Linked DNA regions of Lonchura striata. The protein of the gene in region 1 purifies or fractionates together with the protein of each later gene. This does not show direct contact. Links are inferred from orthologs where the notes say so. Each region holds a gene or a part of one and is shown on either strand. Other genes may lie near its edges. The genes, in order: KLHDC3 and CUL2.

Region 1 (8,038 bases):
GGTAAGTCCTGTCATTAACCAGGAATAAGTGCATTTCTAAAAATCAGGACATGCTTCACTTACTGGTGAAGTACCTGATGTTGGTGATGCTGGAAATTAAGTGAGAACAACAGTGCATTGTTCCTCTGCCACAAAACATTTCACTGCTAAGCCAGGGAACAATCAGATTTAATTCAGCTCTGCATTCTTCCAATACAGCACCTGTAGACAGCACCCCCATATCTCTAGTTGTGCTCTTGCCTGAAGATGCACTTAATGCCTGCAACAACCTTCATCCCAACTGCTCCAGTTTACACCTAACAAGAGCCTAACAGCACCGCATACGGACATCTGAGATCAACAAAAATATCACTCAATCTCTCACTAGCATATCTTCCAAAACTGTTGTGGTGACTTGAGCACTGTGACACAGATAGAAAAACATCCCCAAAACAACAACAACAAAAAAAAACAAACCAGATTTTTCACTTTGTTCTATTTGCTTTAGGCTTAGTATTTTCAAACCTTACAATTAGTTATGAAAATACTTCATTCGAGATAGAAAGCTACTGAGCATCTCCAACTACAGTAGCCAGGTGATGATCTTAAAACAAACCCATATGTTATAAATGAAAGTTTATTTTAGCCAGATTAAAAAAAAAAATAATAATTTTATTAGCGGTCAAATTCTATCTGGCCAGCCACACAGAAAAGACAGAGCCGAGCCCGGGGTCGACCCTGGGTGTGCAACAAGGAGTCAGCCTCAGCAGAGGTTTTCCCCTATGCCCACACACCTCCATCCTGGCACAGGCGGTTTTTATAGGGAAAATTCTGCCTGAGGCCAAGATTTTAGCAATCAGTCCTTTCTTCTATTCGGAGTCCATATGTTAATAAGGATTTCTTTTTGGTGATGAGGAGAAAAAATTCAATGTTGAGCGTTTACGGGAAGGCTTCATTCACATGGATCTGTCTGAGTATTTCCATGATATCCATCTTGGACGATCAGCACAGATGATCAGCACAGACAATGACCCATCTCCTGGCCGAGCCACATCTGTTTACTTGTAAATCAGTTTCCAATATACACTCAGTCTCGCCCGCAAAGGGGGGGGGGGGGGGGGAGGAACTAATACAACGGGCATGATTTAACAAGCATCCCATATTACATATTTCATACAAGGAATGGCGCAAATTATATTTACTATACATAACACATATATCCTTGGATCCACTTCTTTGCTCAAAGGGAGCTCAGTGGGTTCTCTCACTTCTCTCTGCACACAAAAGGAAACCTAGAGCCATTTCTAAAAGCTGCTCAGAGTAGCCTTGCTGTATCCGATTCTCAAAGCAAGGGGGAGAAACCCATCAGCAAGTGGCCCGGATTTTCAAGGACTCATTCTGTCACCCCCAGACTTACAGCAGCACCCCAAGAAGAGCAGCCTACTCTGCAAAGCTGCTCCAGAGAGCAAATCCTACCGTGTGGCTGCCTCAGTCCCGTCTCCCAAAAGACACCAGCCACAAGGTTTAGTAACCCTTAAAATAGCCCAGCCAGTTCACAGCAGTCCATATAGACCGTTCTATTTCAAGCACATCCAACATACTGTTAGAGATAACATGAGAACAACCTGCTTTCTTCACTTGTGCTTGACATTTATCTAATGCTTGGAGCATTTGTGCTAAGGCAGTGTGAAACTGCAAGCTTGCACATTCAATAGCTCACAGATGCTCACAATGCAATTCCAGCCCCAGTAAATTAGATGGTGCTAGAACAGTCCTCGAGCTCGTGAACTGAGCCTGCTCTGGAAGCTCATGTTAGCCACGGGAATCACAGACCACGCTGCTCAGGCACAAATTTATCCCAGTGGTCCCCCTACAACCAGCCTCACCATCTCCTTATTTTTCACCAAATATTTTACCCATTGCTGACTTACTTCTGCCTAAAGCCTAGCTGAGATTCTGCACCTACTGAGCTGGCTTCTATTCTTCACCTTGTTTCCCAAACCCCAGCTTCTCTATGGAGTGTGCCTAAGCTTTGGAGATACTGCTTGACCCCTACTTCCCCATCAGGAATTTGTCTCAGCCTGTTAAGCTGTTTCCAAGGGCTGCCGCCAAGGGCAGCCCTTGGGCTGGGAAGCAGGCTCAGGAAAGCTGAGCTGACAGCCAGCAGGGCATTTCTCGCTTTACACAGGGCTACATCAGTTTGTTCTTCTGCCCCCCTGTTGCACTGACACTGATCCCCAGGCTGAGTGGTCTGCTGGGCTTGGCCACACATGGGGCAGGCTCACAGGTGCCAACCCCAGGCATGCAGCCCCACAGCAGCCACAACTGGGTGAGAGAATAAATGGTGTGAAACCACAGGAGCCCACAGGATGGAGAGAGAAGGTGCAGCAGAAGTCATGCCAGGGCAGAAGGTCAGCCTCCCTGACACAGACCTATTGGGGAGGATAGGGATATGTGGGGTCACAGAATCCTTTAAGGATGGAGACCACCAAGATCACAGAGCCCAGCCATTAGCCCAACACTGCCAGGCCCACCACTAACCCATGTCCTGAAAGTGCCACATTTACAGATTTTTTTTAACACTTCCAGGGACGGTGATTCGACCATCTCCCTGAGCAGCCTGTTCCAATGCCAAACTACCCTTTTCGTGAAGAATTTTTTCCTAATATCCAATCTAAACTTTCCCTGGTGCAGCTTGAAGCTATTTCCTCTTGACCTGCCTGTCACTTGTTACCTGGGAGAAGAGGCTGGCCCACACCTGGCAACAATCTCCTTTCAGGCAGTTGTAGAGAGTAACAGGGTCTCTCCTGAGCTTCCTTTTCTCCAAGCTGAAGACCCCCAGCTCTCTCAGCCGCCCCTCACAGGACTGGCTCTCTGGACCCTTCAGCACCTCCTCTGCCCAGCTCTGGACACGCTCCAGCACCGTTGGCCGCCGCTCCCGCCCGAGCCCCTCTGTGCCGCCCCGCGCCCCCACCCGCTGCCCGCGGGCCCGGCCGAGGGCAGCCGGGCAGGGCGGCGGCCCCGCGCCCCCGGCCCTCACGGAGGGGCTCGGCGGTGCCTACCAGCCTCGCCCTCCCCCAGCCGCGGCACGGCTCCGCCGGCTGCCCTCGCCCCTGCGGCCCCAGCCCCGTACCTGTGCCCGTACAAGGAGCTCCGACAGCCCCGCTCCGACGGGAGCTCCCGCCGCTCCCTGGGACTTGTAGTGCGGCGTGGCCCCGCCCGGGTCCGTGGCCCCCCCCCCCCCCGCGCCGGAGTAGCGCGGCCCCGACAGGCCCTTGCGAGGCGCCGGGCCCCGGCCTCCCTCAGGGAGGGCTCCGTGGGTTCCCCGCCCCGCCCGGGCCCGGCCCCGGCGCGCCGCTCGGGCCCAGACCGAGATGGCAACACTCGATGGCGACACTCGATGGCACCGGCGGCGCGTGCCGGCGGCGCCGCCCGCCGCGCCCGGGGCCCGCTTCGGGACTACAACACCCACAGTGCCCCGCGGCGGCCGCGGAGGTTCCGGGCGGCGGCGGCGGCACCTCCTCGGCGCCGCGCCCGGTGTATGGCGGTGGTGCGGAGCATGGGCCCCGAGCGCGTCTGTCCCCGGGAGCCCGGGCCGCCGGAGGGCCCTGACGGCGCGGCGGGGTGGAGCGGCGATGAGGAGGAGGAGGAGGAGGAAGAGGAGGAAGGCGGCGGGTACTTGTATCAGCCCTTGAGCCAGGAACCGGAGCAGGGCCTCGGCGACGCGGGCCCCGGCCTGCAGGAGCGGCTGCAGGTACCGCCCAGCGCCTCCCGCCGGGCCGGGGCTGGGGGCACCCGCGGCCCCGACCCCCGCTGCCCCGACCCCCGCTGCCCCGACCCCCGCTGCCCGCCTTTCTCCGCAGATGCTGAGGCTGCACCTGCCCGACCCGCCGGTGGACAGCGAGGAGGAGAATGAGGAGGAAGCAGCGGAGGGCGCCACGGCTCAGAGCAGCCACAGCTCCATCCCCATGGATGCAGGTAACCGCGTCTCCGGCAGGACGCTCCCGGGGCTCCGCCGCGGTCTCACGGCCTCTCTGTTCCCAGAGCATGTGGAGCTGGTGAAGAGGACGATGGCCAGCGTGAAGCTGCCCACCCTGGGCATCCCAGCCTGGGCTAGCCAGATCTCGGAGGAGCAGTGGAAGGACGTGGTGCAGCGCACGCTGCAGGCCCGGCAGAGCCTCGGCGGCCCCCGGCCTCAGTGGAACTGAGTGCTGGGCTGTGGCACAGGGGCTGCAAACCCCAGCCCTCCCTCCACCCTGGAAGTACCCACTGCCTCCGAGCCAGGTGCTGACAGGACTTGCCAGTATCAACCTTCCAGTTTGTCCCACTGACATTGTCTGATTTTCCTTCCCCCTCCTTTTTCTGGGTTCTGGTTGGTGAATAAGTCAATGTGATGACCTTGTGCTGGCTTCCTCTACCTCTGAGGAAGATTGCTTTCCATGCCTGGATGCATATGCGGCGATGGGGCTTGGCTGGCTTTGCCCATGGACTTGGCCCCATGCTGACAGTACCAGAGAAGTCACTCTCCAGGCTAGGGCCCCTCCTCTCAGGATAGGGTCTGTGTGTTGGAATATCACAGGTGGAGCAAGATGTGTCATTCCAAGAGATTGGTTTTATTTAGTTCTGTACATACAGGGACATCTGTACAAAATCCAACACTTTCATACTATGTAATGCTCTACTGAAAATAAAGTACACCATATGTACATATGAACTGTAAGCAGCTTAATACTTGTGTCCAGGGTGTGAATGCAGTAGTTTTGCTTTTTCCCTTGGGAGGAGCAAGCCAGGTGGAGTGGAAGAGGCAGCTCCAGTTCTGTCCATTTGGCTGATGTGGGGAAAGGCATAGGCAGAAATGAGCAGCACTAATGCTAGAAACCAAGTATTGAGCAGGGGGTAGCCGTAGCGTGGCAGATGCAGGTCTGCCTATGAGCAGTACATGTAGTGAGAGGGTGAGCACACTCCCCCTTGTCTCACATGGTCCCCTTCTGAGGTGTCCAGGACACTGGAATGAATAGGCAGCAAACAAAGGATAATGTGAAGGTACTAAGCCTAAGTTCCCTGACCCAAAACAAGACACAAAAAGCTATGGGAACATCAAAGCTGTACAGCACATAATCATGATGTGTTACAATCCTGCCCCTGCACATGGCACAACCCCAGCAGCATTCCTCTGGCCAGGGTCAGGGGCTGCCAGCAGAGACAGATCATCTGCAGGACAGTGCCAGCCCCTGCACACCACAAGATTCTGTTCCCTCCACAGGCAGAGCAGCCCACAGCGGGGAAAGGCAGCCACTGCGCAGCAGCAAGCAGGCTCAAGTGAGGGCACACCATGCTGTAGCAATCTAAAAATGAGGTCTTGGCTTACAGCGCAATGCAAGCAGCCAGTTGGAGAGCCTGTGCTCCAACAGGAAGGAGCCTCCTGCCCAGCCTGAGCCTGGCAGCCTTCATTTCCGCTGTGCTGCTCTGGCACCACCCGGTGCATGTCCACATGCTGTGCCAGGCGTGAGGTAATTGATTGGCAGCTGATCATGAGCTCAGACTAATGTTCAAAATAAGCAATAACCTCCCTGAGGTGTTTCGGAAGTCTCCTGATGAACTGGCCCGTTGTGTGAGGCGGAGGGGAGGTGGGGCCCTGTGTGACTGGGGGGATCTCACACATGCACCTGCCAGCTCCTCCCAAGAGATGGTGGCATTCCTGATAAGGGCTGAGCTGGGAGAGAGCTACACGGGGCAGGGATGCAGGATACACAGGTCAAAACAGCCTCACTGGGGTTGGAGGAAAGATGTGCTGCACACCAGCAGAAAGATTAGAGGGGGTGATCCTCTGACCTGTAAATGGTTTACTGGTGAGGACAGGCAGATACACCAGAACCTTCTACAACATCCCGTGCCATTGCAAAGCAGTGTCAGGCCAGCCCCAACCCCACAGGCTCCCTGCACTGCTGCAAACCCACTTAAGCTTATGTGTCAAGAAAGCAGGTGCAGCAGGTAAGAAGCAAGGACTCCCCCTCTATGACACCCAGCCTCTGAGGTGGCACCTTGGCCTGGCACTAAATCTGCACCACAAACAACAGGGGTGAAAGCTGGATCACAGTAGCACCCAAGTGCTGCGCAAGCCCCTGGGCTATCAGCAAGTGTTTCTAAATGCTAAGTTAGCACCCCGATGCACCATGTGACATCTAACAAGGGCCTCGGGCCACAGCAGGTGCACACGTAACAGGACAGGTGAACTTTGCTCAGAGCACCCACAGAAGCGATTCAGCAGAAGTGCTTAGCCATTGATAATAATGAGGAGACAACTGAACAATCAAACTCAGCCACACCCCATGAGGTGTAGCCACTGCTTCCACTGGCTTGCGGAAATGACTAGCAGCACAAGCTTCCTAGAAACCCTGGCCCTGAAGAGCTAAGGATGGGATACAGAGACAAAGGGAGAGCTGAAGGAGTATTTTAATTGAGCAGGTAGAGGAAGAAGGTGGAAGTCAGTGGCTGACACCTGCTACACAGCGAGAAGTTAATTCTGGGCCCACAATTAACCCGAGACATCGGGAAGGAAATGAGTCTGCACGAACCAACACAAACAGCAGAAGTAATTCACTTTCTCACAAGAGAGCTTCTAAGGATGCTCTAAAGGGAGGACTGCAATAGTATGTAGTGCTTGCACCCAGCTTAACTGGGGGTGGCAAAGCACTGAACCCCCACTCCACTGACAGGGGAATAAAACAAGGAGCTTGTAGCAAAAGAAAGGTGTAAGTAAACATTTCCTCTGCTGTACATTAAGACCCTTCAGCTGTGGAGCTGCACCCCAAGGCAGGCTGGAGAGGCAGCAGAGCCTTCACAAACTCTGCTTTTCCCCAAAGCTCAGCCTGGCCTCTGACCATGCCAGGGCTCAGCTGCACATGCAGCACAGGGGCAGAGATGGGCACTTGGAGTTTGGAGCAGCACGCTGAGCCATGCATGGAAGGCTCTGCCCAACACAGAGCCTGAGCAAGGCTCTGGCTTCCTGGCAGAGTAAGAATCAGGTGGCATCTCACACTGAAGTGAGTCCTGCCTGGACTGATAAAAGCAGAGGTCAGGCAGGCTCCCCTAATGCTTGCAGAGCCAGGTGGGAAAACAGGAGGACGGAGAAAAAGCAGGAGGACACAACAGTGGTGAGATACAAGTTATAACATAAAATCAGATCTACCCTGGAGGTATGCAGATGGAGTGGAGGACAGGCACAGCTCACCATGTTAATTCCTTACTTATACATGAGAACTGAGTGCACTTCCATGACCCCTGGAGGAAAGGGATGGGGCAGAGCTTCCTGGGCCAGCTCCTGAGCCCGTCAGAGAGCCTCCTGGCTTGAGGTGAGAAACTCTTCTGCTCTCTTGTGGGCCTCCAAGGCTTTTATAGTGTAGACGTCCTGCGGAAGCTCAGACTTCCGGCGCAGCAAAACTTTGTCCTTCTTAATGTCTTTCAGCATCTACAAACAAATCAAAGGAGTCAGGAATCAGTAGCAAACCCCTTCATGCCTTCAGCCTCTGACTCCAACTGCTCTAGGTTATGCTGAGTGGCACTGCAGCATGCTTCAGAACAGGCTGACAGCCAAATACAGACCAAAAGGACACAAGAAAGTCCCACTGGCACTTTTTCCAGAGTGAGAAGGTTAGATAAACTCCACTCTTCAGACTACAGGTTGATCTCTTAATGATGAGGGGTGAGAGTAGTGGCATTTACCTTCAGAACATTTGGAAAGAGCCAGCTCTGGCTATGCTGATGTCCTGGCTGGACTGGGAGCAACTGTGAAAGGACCTGAGTCACCTACACACCTGTACGGCCTCCGTCTCCACTGTTTTCTTCAGTAGCTGTATATCCTCTGCAGTTGGGGTCTCCGTTTCCATACAGCACACAGAAGGCAAGGGTAGAGGTGCATAATACATGGGGTACTGCAGACAACACAGACAGCTGGAGAGTCAGCACTCCATCCAACACCACACCTTCTCCCCCAGCATGCTAACACGGCACAGCACAAGTTCTCCCAGCTGCCTTCTCTGGCCCCCGGAAAGGCAGCAGT
Region 2 (8,580 bases), on another chromosome or scaffold:
GAGGTTGGAAAAGATCATGGAGTCCAACCTGTGGCTGAACACCACCTTACCTTGTCAAATAAACCACAGCACTAAATGCCACATCCAGTTGTTTATTGAACATCTTCCAGGATGGTGACTGCATCTCCTCCCTGGGCAGCCCATTCCAATGGTTGACAACCTTTGAGTGAAGAGATTCTTCCAACCTGAACATCTCAGCTTGAGGCCTCTTCCTTTCATCCTGTCTGGTTGCCTGGGAGCAGAGGTTGACCCCCACCTGGCTACACTTCCTTTCAAGGAGTTTTAGAGAGAAATAAGGTCTCCTCTGAGACTCCTCAAGGCTAAACACCCCAGCTGCCCCAGCTGCATTCTCATATGACTTATTTTCTATACACGTCACCAGCTTCATTCCCCTTCTCCAGACATGCTTCAGCACCTCAATGTCTTTCTTGAAGTGGCAGGCGTAGAACTGAACACAGGACTGGAGGTACTGAGCAATGTCTTTTCACTGTGTTGCTGCATATCCATGAAAGGATTATTTCACTATGATTTTTAAAAATGATTGTACAGCAGTGCACATCTATGTACACATCTAAGTACACATGATCTATGGGCCTTTTATTAAAAGGCACTGCTAAAAGGGACCTGAACCACTTTCTGAAGATAATTGCATAATTTCTGAATCAAAAGGGGAGACATTTAGAATATTGTTTGGTTCATTGCTGGTACTATAAACAAATACATTCCTGGCTCATGACCTGGTAGACGTAACAGAACTTCCTTGGTGTGGGTGTCAGATTCAGTCAAAGAAAGAAACTGAGTTTCTAGCCAGGCAAAAAGCCTGGGAAAGAGCTGGGAAAGAATGTAAATAATGCTTTATCTTTCTTGTTTTTCACATTGTTTATAGTTAAGTTCTATCACTGTGTGTCAAACACTCTGCACCAATGCTGTGGGTTGTTTTCACTTCAGAACCAATGGATTTGGTCCTTGTGGAGCTCTGTATAAAAGAGCGGTGTATTTTGAATAAATCAGAGTTTTAGTATTACAGCCTTCTGAGTCAGTCTCCTCATTCCCGTCCTACCTCGACAGCGACACCTTGGAACTGCAGCTTCCCTTCCCCTGTGTGCAGCATCCTCTCATGGCTCTCTCTCTCATTTCCACCAGCAGGAGCAAGTGATGATATTTGAACAGTTCCATGTGCTCAGCTGTGGCACCACACTTCCCTAACCCGTACTAGCTTTGGGATTTTATGTATACAAGCTAAAGCATGAAAACTACAAACTAGCTTATTTACTAGAGTAAATTTCAGGGGTAGTTTCATATTCAAATTAAACCTGAAAGCAAAATCCCAGTAATTAACACAAACCCACCCATATGGTGTCTCAGCCAGGACTCCTTCATTTTTAACAATTCAGAAAATAAAGCTAGAGAACCTAATAGCTTCTTTAGAAGCTTTTTGCATTCTTTTCTCAAATGCTTAGATAAGCAATATGATAAATAGGAACACTGAAACCTCTTTCATGCCAGGTTGCTTGTTTGTTGGTCAATTGTTATATCTGGTTCACTCAGCACATAGCAAGTACTGAGCCGTTGGCATCTGATGCACTTACTGAACGGAAAGGATTTACAACCTTGTAACTGAACACACAAAAGCTCCAGAATGTTTTACTCTTTTGATACCTCATAGCTGTTTAATATCTCAAAATTCCTTTAAATAAAATCATTTAGGCTCAGTAATTGCATCATAGAGTCTTGGCAGCTCATTGATCTCTAAATACAAGTTCTAAATACATGATTTTGCTTGTCAATACATGATTTTGCTTGTCTTGGCAGCTCATTGATCTCTAAATACAAGTTCTAAATACATGATTTTGCTTGTCAATAATGTTGCAGAATATTTTTTAGAAATTTTTTGGGGAAAAAAAGGAAAGAATAACTAGATTTGCTCAGACAGATAACTTCTTAACTACAATGACATGAAAATAAATTGGTGCCCCTTTTTAATAATAGATAGGAAAAAAAATTACATTTGCAATTTTTTTTCCAAGCAGTCCTGGGGAAGGATAGAATAAATCTGGGAGTTGAACTAAACACTTGATGGCTAACTAATAAATGTTGTTTGAGAGAGTTCAACTTTTGCTAGATTTCCTATTTCATGGACAAAAGGGGTGGGTTTTGTTGGTTTTGTAGGTTGTGCAAGCTGAAACTCCTGAACTGCTACTTTTTAATCTATTCAGTACTGACATCTTGTGGCCAGGAGTGCAGTGAGCATCTGCTTCTTAAAATTAAAGGGATTAAAGCAGATTAAATAACCACACATTTTAAATTCTTCATAAACCTAAAAAAAAAATTACAAAAATAATACTTAATTGCTTAATACTTAAATACTGCATATTTTTATAATCACAAAGGATTTGTTCAGTTTATACATATATTTTGCACATTACCATATGAAAGACAAATACCCACAATAAAAGTCTAGATTAAAATATCTATAATGAAATAAAGGTCCATTCTTACTTTAATTTATTTTGCTTTCAGAAGCAAAATATTATTTTTAAAAATTTGTATTATTATCTGCATCAATAATGCAGACTAACTCATCCAGTAAATTGAATATAACATGAATAAAACATAATTAATCCAGTCAATATTCTCATTTTCTACATGAAAAAGGCTAATGAATATGTTACTCTAAAAATAGGATTTTAAATCAAAGACAAGAAGAGCAGATAGTATAATGGAAGACATTTGCAGATGAGAGGGTGGTGGTGGGGAATGTGGATACTCAGTATCAGTTCCGACTGCATTCTAAACCAGCTTTTACATGAAGCATTAGGTGATATAGTGGCACATTTAATACAGTGTTTGCATCACCTCGGGGCTGTGGGATTCCTAGTTCTGTACCAGAATAATAGTGTTAGATGTAGCATCAACATAAACAAAATAGACAGCTCCTTCCAAAAGAATTAATTACATAAGGGCAAAGAAAACAAGTTAATGTAAATAGAAAAACCGAAGTATCAGATAAGAGAAAACTGTATGTAAACAATGGGGGAACTTAGGAAATACTCCAGTACTGGTTAGGACAGTGAGCAGATTGGGTAGCAGATGTAATCAAAGAAACATAAATTTGCGTATGTGGTGGCAAAGTTTTAAGGTGGTATGTACATGTAGTAGAAAATAACCTGTGTCACTCACTACTGTAATCAACAATCTATAAAGAACCAGCACGAATTTACTGGGAAGAAATTGACTTCTCCATAGGACTATCCTGCAAAAACTCCCAGAATTTCCATCTGTTCCCCATCTGTGTCTTCTCTATCTACAACTGCTGAAAGACAACACTAAGCCTTAGTCAAACAGGATTTAAAGGTCTGCACATCTGCTGTCATCAAGAAATGCATCAAGACATGACTGAGGTAGATGAGGACACCATTAATGGGTCATGCTTTGCCAAATGGCAACTTTCATTGCTGGCTTATTTGGGCACATCTGCACAGCATGTTAATTCAGATGATCTGGGCTTTAGCAGGTAGGAACTCACTGATTCATAAATCACATATCCACTCACATAAAGCATTGGTGTATACACACAAGTTTTAGTCTTGCTCTTGGCAGATACATTACATCTGCATAAGAACCTTTGTTCTTTTGAAGTGTAGGCAGCACTGTGGGAGTGGCAAGATGAGTTTAGTAGCACACACAGAGTAATGCTCTCTGCTTGCTCATCTCAGACTCCTGCAATGCCCCATTCTGTGAAACACCTGGTCTGTGTTTTCACGTGGTGATTCTCTGGACACCATTGACAAAGAAACTTGATGAAAAGGATATCTAGATTTTAAAATTTTGTGACTTAAGTAGGAATTATTTCCTAAATATATTTAAATCCAAGAACAATTTTTAAATATCTTACATAAAAGCAGTAATGTTCATGTTCTTCCTCTGAATTGTGACTCCCTAATTGTGCTTCCTCAACTGCAGCCTTGTAGAACAGTGTGCAGAATAGTTGAGGATTTGGTACCTAATTAAAGTCTGTGCTTACTGTGAATGTTCATAATTTCAGAAAATTGCTACGTGATTCTTCCATGCTGAACAACCCAAATGATTAGTTTTGAAAATACCTCATTTCCTGTATCTGTTTCCAGTTTATAACTGTTAACTCAGGACTAAACTTCCTCATATAACAGAAATTTAGAAAATATGTACTGTGTAATGTTTGGGCAGCGTATAGATAAGGATGTTTTTCATTAGCAGCAGTCTAACTTGTGATATGTGATCTTGTACAATTAATACATTCACACAGCATGATTAAACAGGATAATTAAATTGTGCCAGCATATATTTGAACTTCTAAGCTCACAAACTTGTGGCTAAGACTACTAAAATGTGAAAATATTAGAAAATGAGAAAGTGCCCCAGATACAATCCAACACTTGTAGAAAATAGCAAGCACCCAAAAGCTTAAAGTTACAACTTCCCTCCCTGCCCCCCCGGCAAATAGAAGAGCTTTAAACTCTGCTAGTTTCTGTTAAATTAACAGAATGGAAAAATAAAGGGGTTTACGGTGAAAACAGAGAAAGTTGAAATAGTGTCTAAAATGTCTAGAAGGAGCTAATAAAAATAATTTTAAAAGAGAACACAAAGGAAAACATTAAGGCTTAATGATAAAGCTGCCAGCTTTATGGAAAAAATATAAAACTTCATTTATGGAAATGAAACGGGCAAGGGCTTGATTCGAAAACAGAAATAATTATTTTTGACGTTTTGAGTAGTTTGAACAATAGAGAAGTTTCAGAAATAAATGTCTGTTTTCCAGAAGACTATTGTCTCTGACGGAGAGCTGCACTATGTGCTCTAAATGATTCCTTTTTTTAGTTTTTTTAGCTTTTTTTGAAGCAGATCTGCAGGGCGCTGGGCTGCCGGGGCCCGGCGGCTCGGCCTCCGCAGCGACTCCGCTTTGTCACTCCCACCCAACAACCCCGCGTCGCCGCTTTCCGCCGAGGCCCCGAGGGGACGGCGGAGGCAGCCGGGGCCGAGGCACTGCCCGGGGCGTCCCGCACCCGAGCAGGGTGCTGGAAGCTGGGGAAACTCCCTGCTGGGGTCCGGCGGCGGGACGGGAACACTTCCACCGTCTGAGGTAGCGGCGACCTCCTGACACGGAGCCCGGGAACGCCGCGCCCGTGGGAGAGCCCCGTTGCAGCCCGCGTCCCCCGCGAGTCCCTGGCGGGACGGCGCGCCGAGAGCGGTCCCGCCATGGGGGCGGAGTGACGCGTGCGCGGGGCCGCCCCGCCGCTGGGAAGCGCGGCCGCCCGCGCTCGCCGTACAGCGCGGGCTGTACCAAACCCCGCTGCTCCGGCGGGGGACGCTGCGATCGGAAAGTGACGGAGCGCCGGGACCCGTCGGCCCCAGCTCGCCCCGCGGCCGGCGGAAAAAGCCCAGCGGGGAGAACCCGGGGGTGGCGGCACCTTGGGTGAGGCGGCGGCGCGGCGGCGACAGCACCGAGCGGGGCCGCGGGGCCGCGCCCCAACCCCGGCAGTGGCGGCGCCGGCGGAGGGGCGGGGCGCGAGCGGCTTTGGGTAATGGCAGCGCTGTGAGGACGGAACGGGGCAGCGACCGCGGCCGAGGGCAGGAGCGAGGGACGCCGGGCGGGGGTCGCTGACTCGGGCCCCGGGCCGCCAGGTAACGCCCTCGCCCGGCCCGGCCCGGCCCGGCCCGCCGCGCTGAGGGCGGGAGCGCCGCGCCGAAGGGAGGTGGCGGTCCCGACCCCGCCGGCTGCGCGCGGGGGCGATCGGGCCCTGCCCCCGGCCGGCCCCGGCCCCGCCGCTGCCCCGGCCCGGGCCTCATCCCCGGCGGTGCCTGAGCGGCAGCGCCCGCCCGCCGCCTCCTGCCCCGGCTCCTGCCCTTGCCCCCGGGCAGGGCGCGGTGCGGCCTCTCCGGCGGGGCCGCTCATTATCCGCTGGCTGCGCCCTCAGCCAGTTTCGCTTTTGTTTTGGTGGAGGGGGAGGTGGGCAGCGGGCGTGGGAGGCAGCACTGGTCACCTGTTTGACGCGAGTGCTCCTGCCCCTGTCTGCGCGCCCGCCACGGACTTGTAATACTGCTTATGGAGGTGGTTAAATAGCTTGGAAATTTGGGGCGTTCTTTGATACTGGACAGAATGCTGTGCTTATTTGTGTGAACAAATATATGCTGTATGGCAGTGGTGTGTTTTAAAGAATGAGGCGATGGAAGCGGCATCCTTTTATTATCTTACTGAGTAAATATGTTTCAATAACATCTCTTTACCTTAAGGCTTATCAAACAGGTATGGCTTCCCACACCCTGAATAGTCTAAACCCTAGGGTAGATATTCTGCTCTCCTGTGGTTCTTACCGTGATCAATACAAGACATCTAATAATCAAAGTTGGTGAGCTTTTGCATCGCTGATACTGGAGCACAGCATGCCCCAAAAAGTCCAGTGTCTTATAGTAAAAATTATACCATACTTGTTAAAATATCTCTAAAACATACTTAAATTCATATTTCCATGAAAGTTGTAAGAGAATGCCAAATAACAGTTATCTTAAACTTATTAATTTAATCTGTCTTAAATTTAATTCCGGAATACTTGGATGACCATGTGGATGCTTTACACATTATTAGGTTTTAATCATCCTGAACACGTTTAATGACATTGGGATGTACTGTGGTGAGGACTTTTCCTTCACCCTTCCTTCTTCCCCTCGGTTTTGCTTCTCTTTGAAGAAAGGGCTCTTTTCTCTTGGATGTACCACCTGTGTTTCCAAGACAGCAACTTCTAATATAACACAAGTACAGCTTCATTAACAGAAGCAGTTATTATGATTCTTAGTGTCTTTTGTGGACCATGATTATTTTTTCTTGGGGTCAGCTGGAAATGATCTTGTGTTTTCCATAAGAGGGGTATTTGGTCTTTTTGAAGATTACCACTTCCCCCTCTCCCCTCCCATCCTGGAAGTGAGCTGTTGTCTGCCTCTACTAAGGTTCATGTTTCTGTGAAACATACATCAGTGTGTTTTTCAGCTTACGTTACTTGATGGATCTTTGTTTTGTCAATTCTCACTGATTTTTCTGTGTAAACTCCTGCTAACATAAATGGATTGAAGTAATAGCCAAGTTACAAATACCACAACATTTACAGCAGTTAAGGAGCTTGGTTGGTTAGTCATGGGGATGGGTTGTGTGCATGCATGCTAAAAGTTGCATCTGATTTAACTGCTTTTTTTCTTAAACTGAGAAGTGATATATCCTGTAAGAGCCAGTAGTGGTTAATCTAGTAAGCTAGTTGCTCAATAGTTTTTTAGCATGACATTTCATTCTTTCCCTTACAGAGGTCTGCCTCTTGTTCTCAAAGTCTGTCACCAGCTTTCTACTTTCCCTTTTGACCTTGAAATTTTGGAAAGACAAGAGTCACTTGTCCATCTGTTTGAAATGGAAATAGAAGTATTCTTTCCATTTTTTATTGTAGTCTTACAATGTCATGTTTCTGAGCAGCAACTAGACTTGCTTTGTGCATGGAATGTCACACATCAGATCCCTTTTAAATTAGTGAAAATGAGACCTTCACAGTTGTCTCTTTTTAAAATCACCTTACTTTCCCCCTAGTTTTTAGATAATTTAATGTTGAGTGTTTTTTTTTTTTCTCAATAAATCTCTTCTGTTATTTTTGATAGGATATAACTATCACAGCTTCTGTATTTTCAAGCCATGTCTTATTTGAAAGGCATCAGTGTTTTCCTGGCTCTGCATATTGCCCTGTGTTTTCTTTTTCACATCCTGATCAAAGCTTTTGGGTTTTGTGGCTTTTCAAATGTAAAACCAAAAATGTCTCATGAAAGCCTGAGGTGAGCACAGGCTACAAACTGACAGTAGGAATTTCAGATACTGTGGTAATCGTTTAGTTTGTTCTTACCCCAAATTTTCTTAGATACAGTTAAAACAGTCTTTGATAAAAGTAAACAAATCAAAATTTACAGGAAAGTTGTTTTCTTCATGGGACACTCTTAAATGAATAGTTTGGTGAGATAATGAACTTCACAAAGTATGATGATGTTAGATTAATTGGTATTAAGTTATAGGCTACTTATGCAACATTCATATTCTATTCCAAAGCATTAAAAATGAGGAATTGTGGAATCATTTTGGAAGAGGTGGGTGTTCTTTGTGTCGCTGTATCATAGTGGTGCAACAGTGTACAAAGTTTAAATTCAAAAATTCAAAGGAAGTGTATACTTTTTTAATGATTGTGCAATGTTGTCTGACATGTTTAATTCTTCTACAGATTAACACTAAAGCCCCACAATGTCCTTGAAACCACGAGTAGTTGACTTTGATGAAACATGGAACAAACTTCTAACAACGATTAAAGCTGTTGTGATGTTGGATTATGTTGAAAGAGCAACGTGGAATGATCGCTTCTCGTATCCTTTAAGTGAAAAATCTGACTTGATGTGTTTGTGTGATGTGTTTAGCACAGGGTAAACCTGTGTTATGCAACAGTGATCCTGGGCAGCTTGTTGTTAGGCTGTACCTGTTATTAGGCCTGTGAATAAATTGAAAGGGATGGGAAATTCTGCATATTT

Evidence for each region.
Region 2: the proteins of KLHDC3 (region 1) and CUL2 purify together in Homo sapiens (affinity purification with mass spectrometry; 5 studies listed by BioGRID and IntAct, counting the BioPlex papers as one, with this or other methods). This does not show direct contact. The link is inferred for Lonchura striata from reciprocal best matches to the Homo sapiens genes KLHDC3 and CUL2.

The regions. Positions count from the first base shown.
Region 1 is NC_134605.1:18,783,273-18,791,310, forward strand, and holds the start of KLHDC3 (kelch domain-containing protein 3), read right to left. Parts: upstream 3,240-8,038; 5' UTR 3,113-3,239; intron 1,496-3,112; exon of another isoform or gene 1,456-1,495; intron 1-1,455. Other genes in the region: MEA1 (male-enhanced antigen 1), read left to right, coding at 3,380-3,733, 3,843-3,957, 4,024-4,187; PPP2R5D (serine/threonine-protein phosphatase 2A 56 kDa regulatory subunit delta isoform), read right to left, coding at 7,310-7,447, 7,794-7,910. UniProt on the Homo sapiens protein: Substrate-recognition component of a Cul2-RING (CRL2) E3 ubiquitin-protein ligase complex of the DesCEND (destruction via C-end degrons) pathway, which recognizes a C-degron located at the extreme C terminus of target proteins, leading to their ubiquitination and degradation.
Region 2 is NC_134603.1:143,812,412-143,820,991, reverse strand, and holds the start of CUL2 (cullin-2), read left to right. Parts: upstream 1-5,345; 5' UTR 5,346-5,452; intron 5,453-5,547; exon of another isoform or gene 5,548-5,661; intron 5,662-8,279; 5' UTR 8,280-8,299; coding exon 8,300-8,418; intron 8,419-8,580.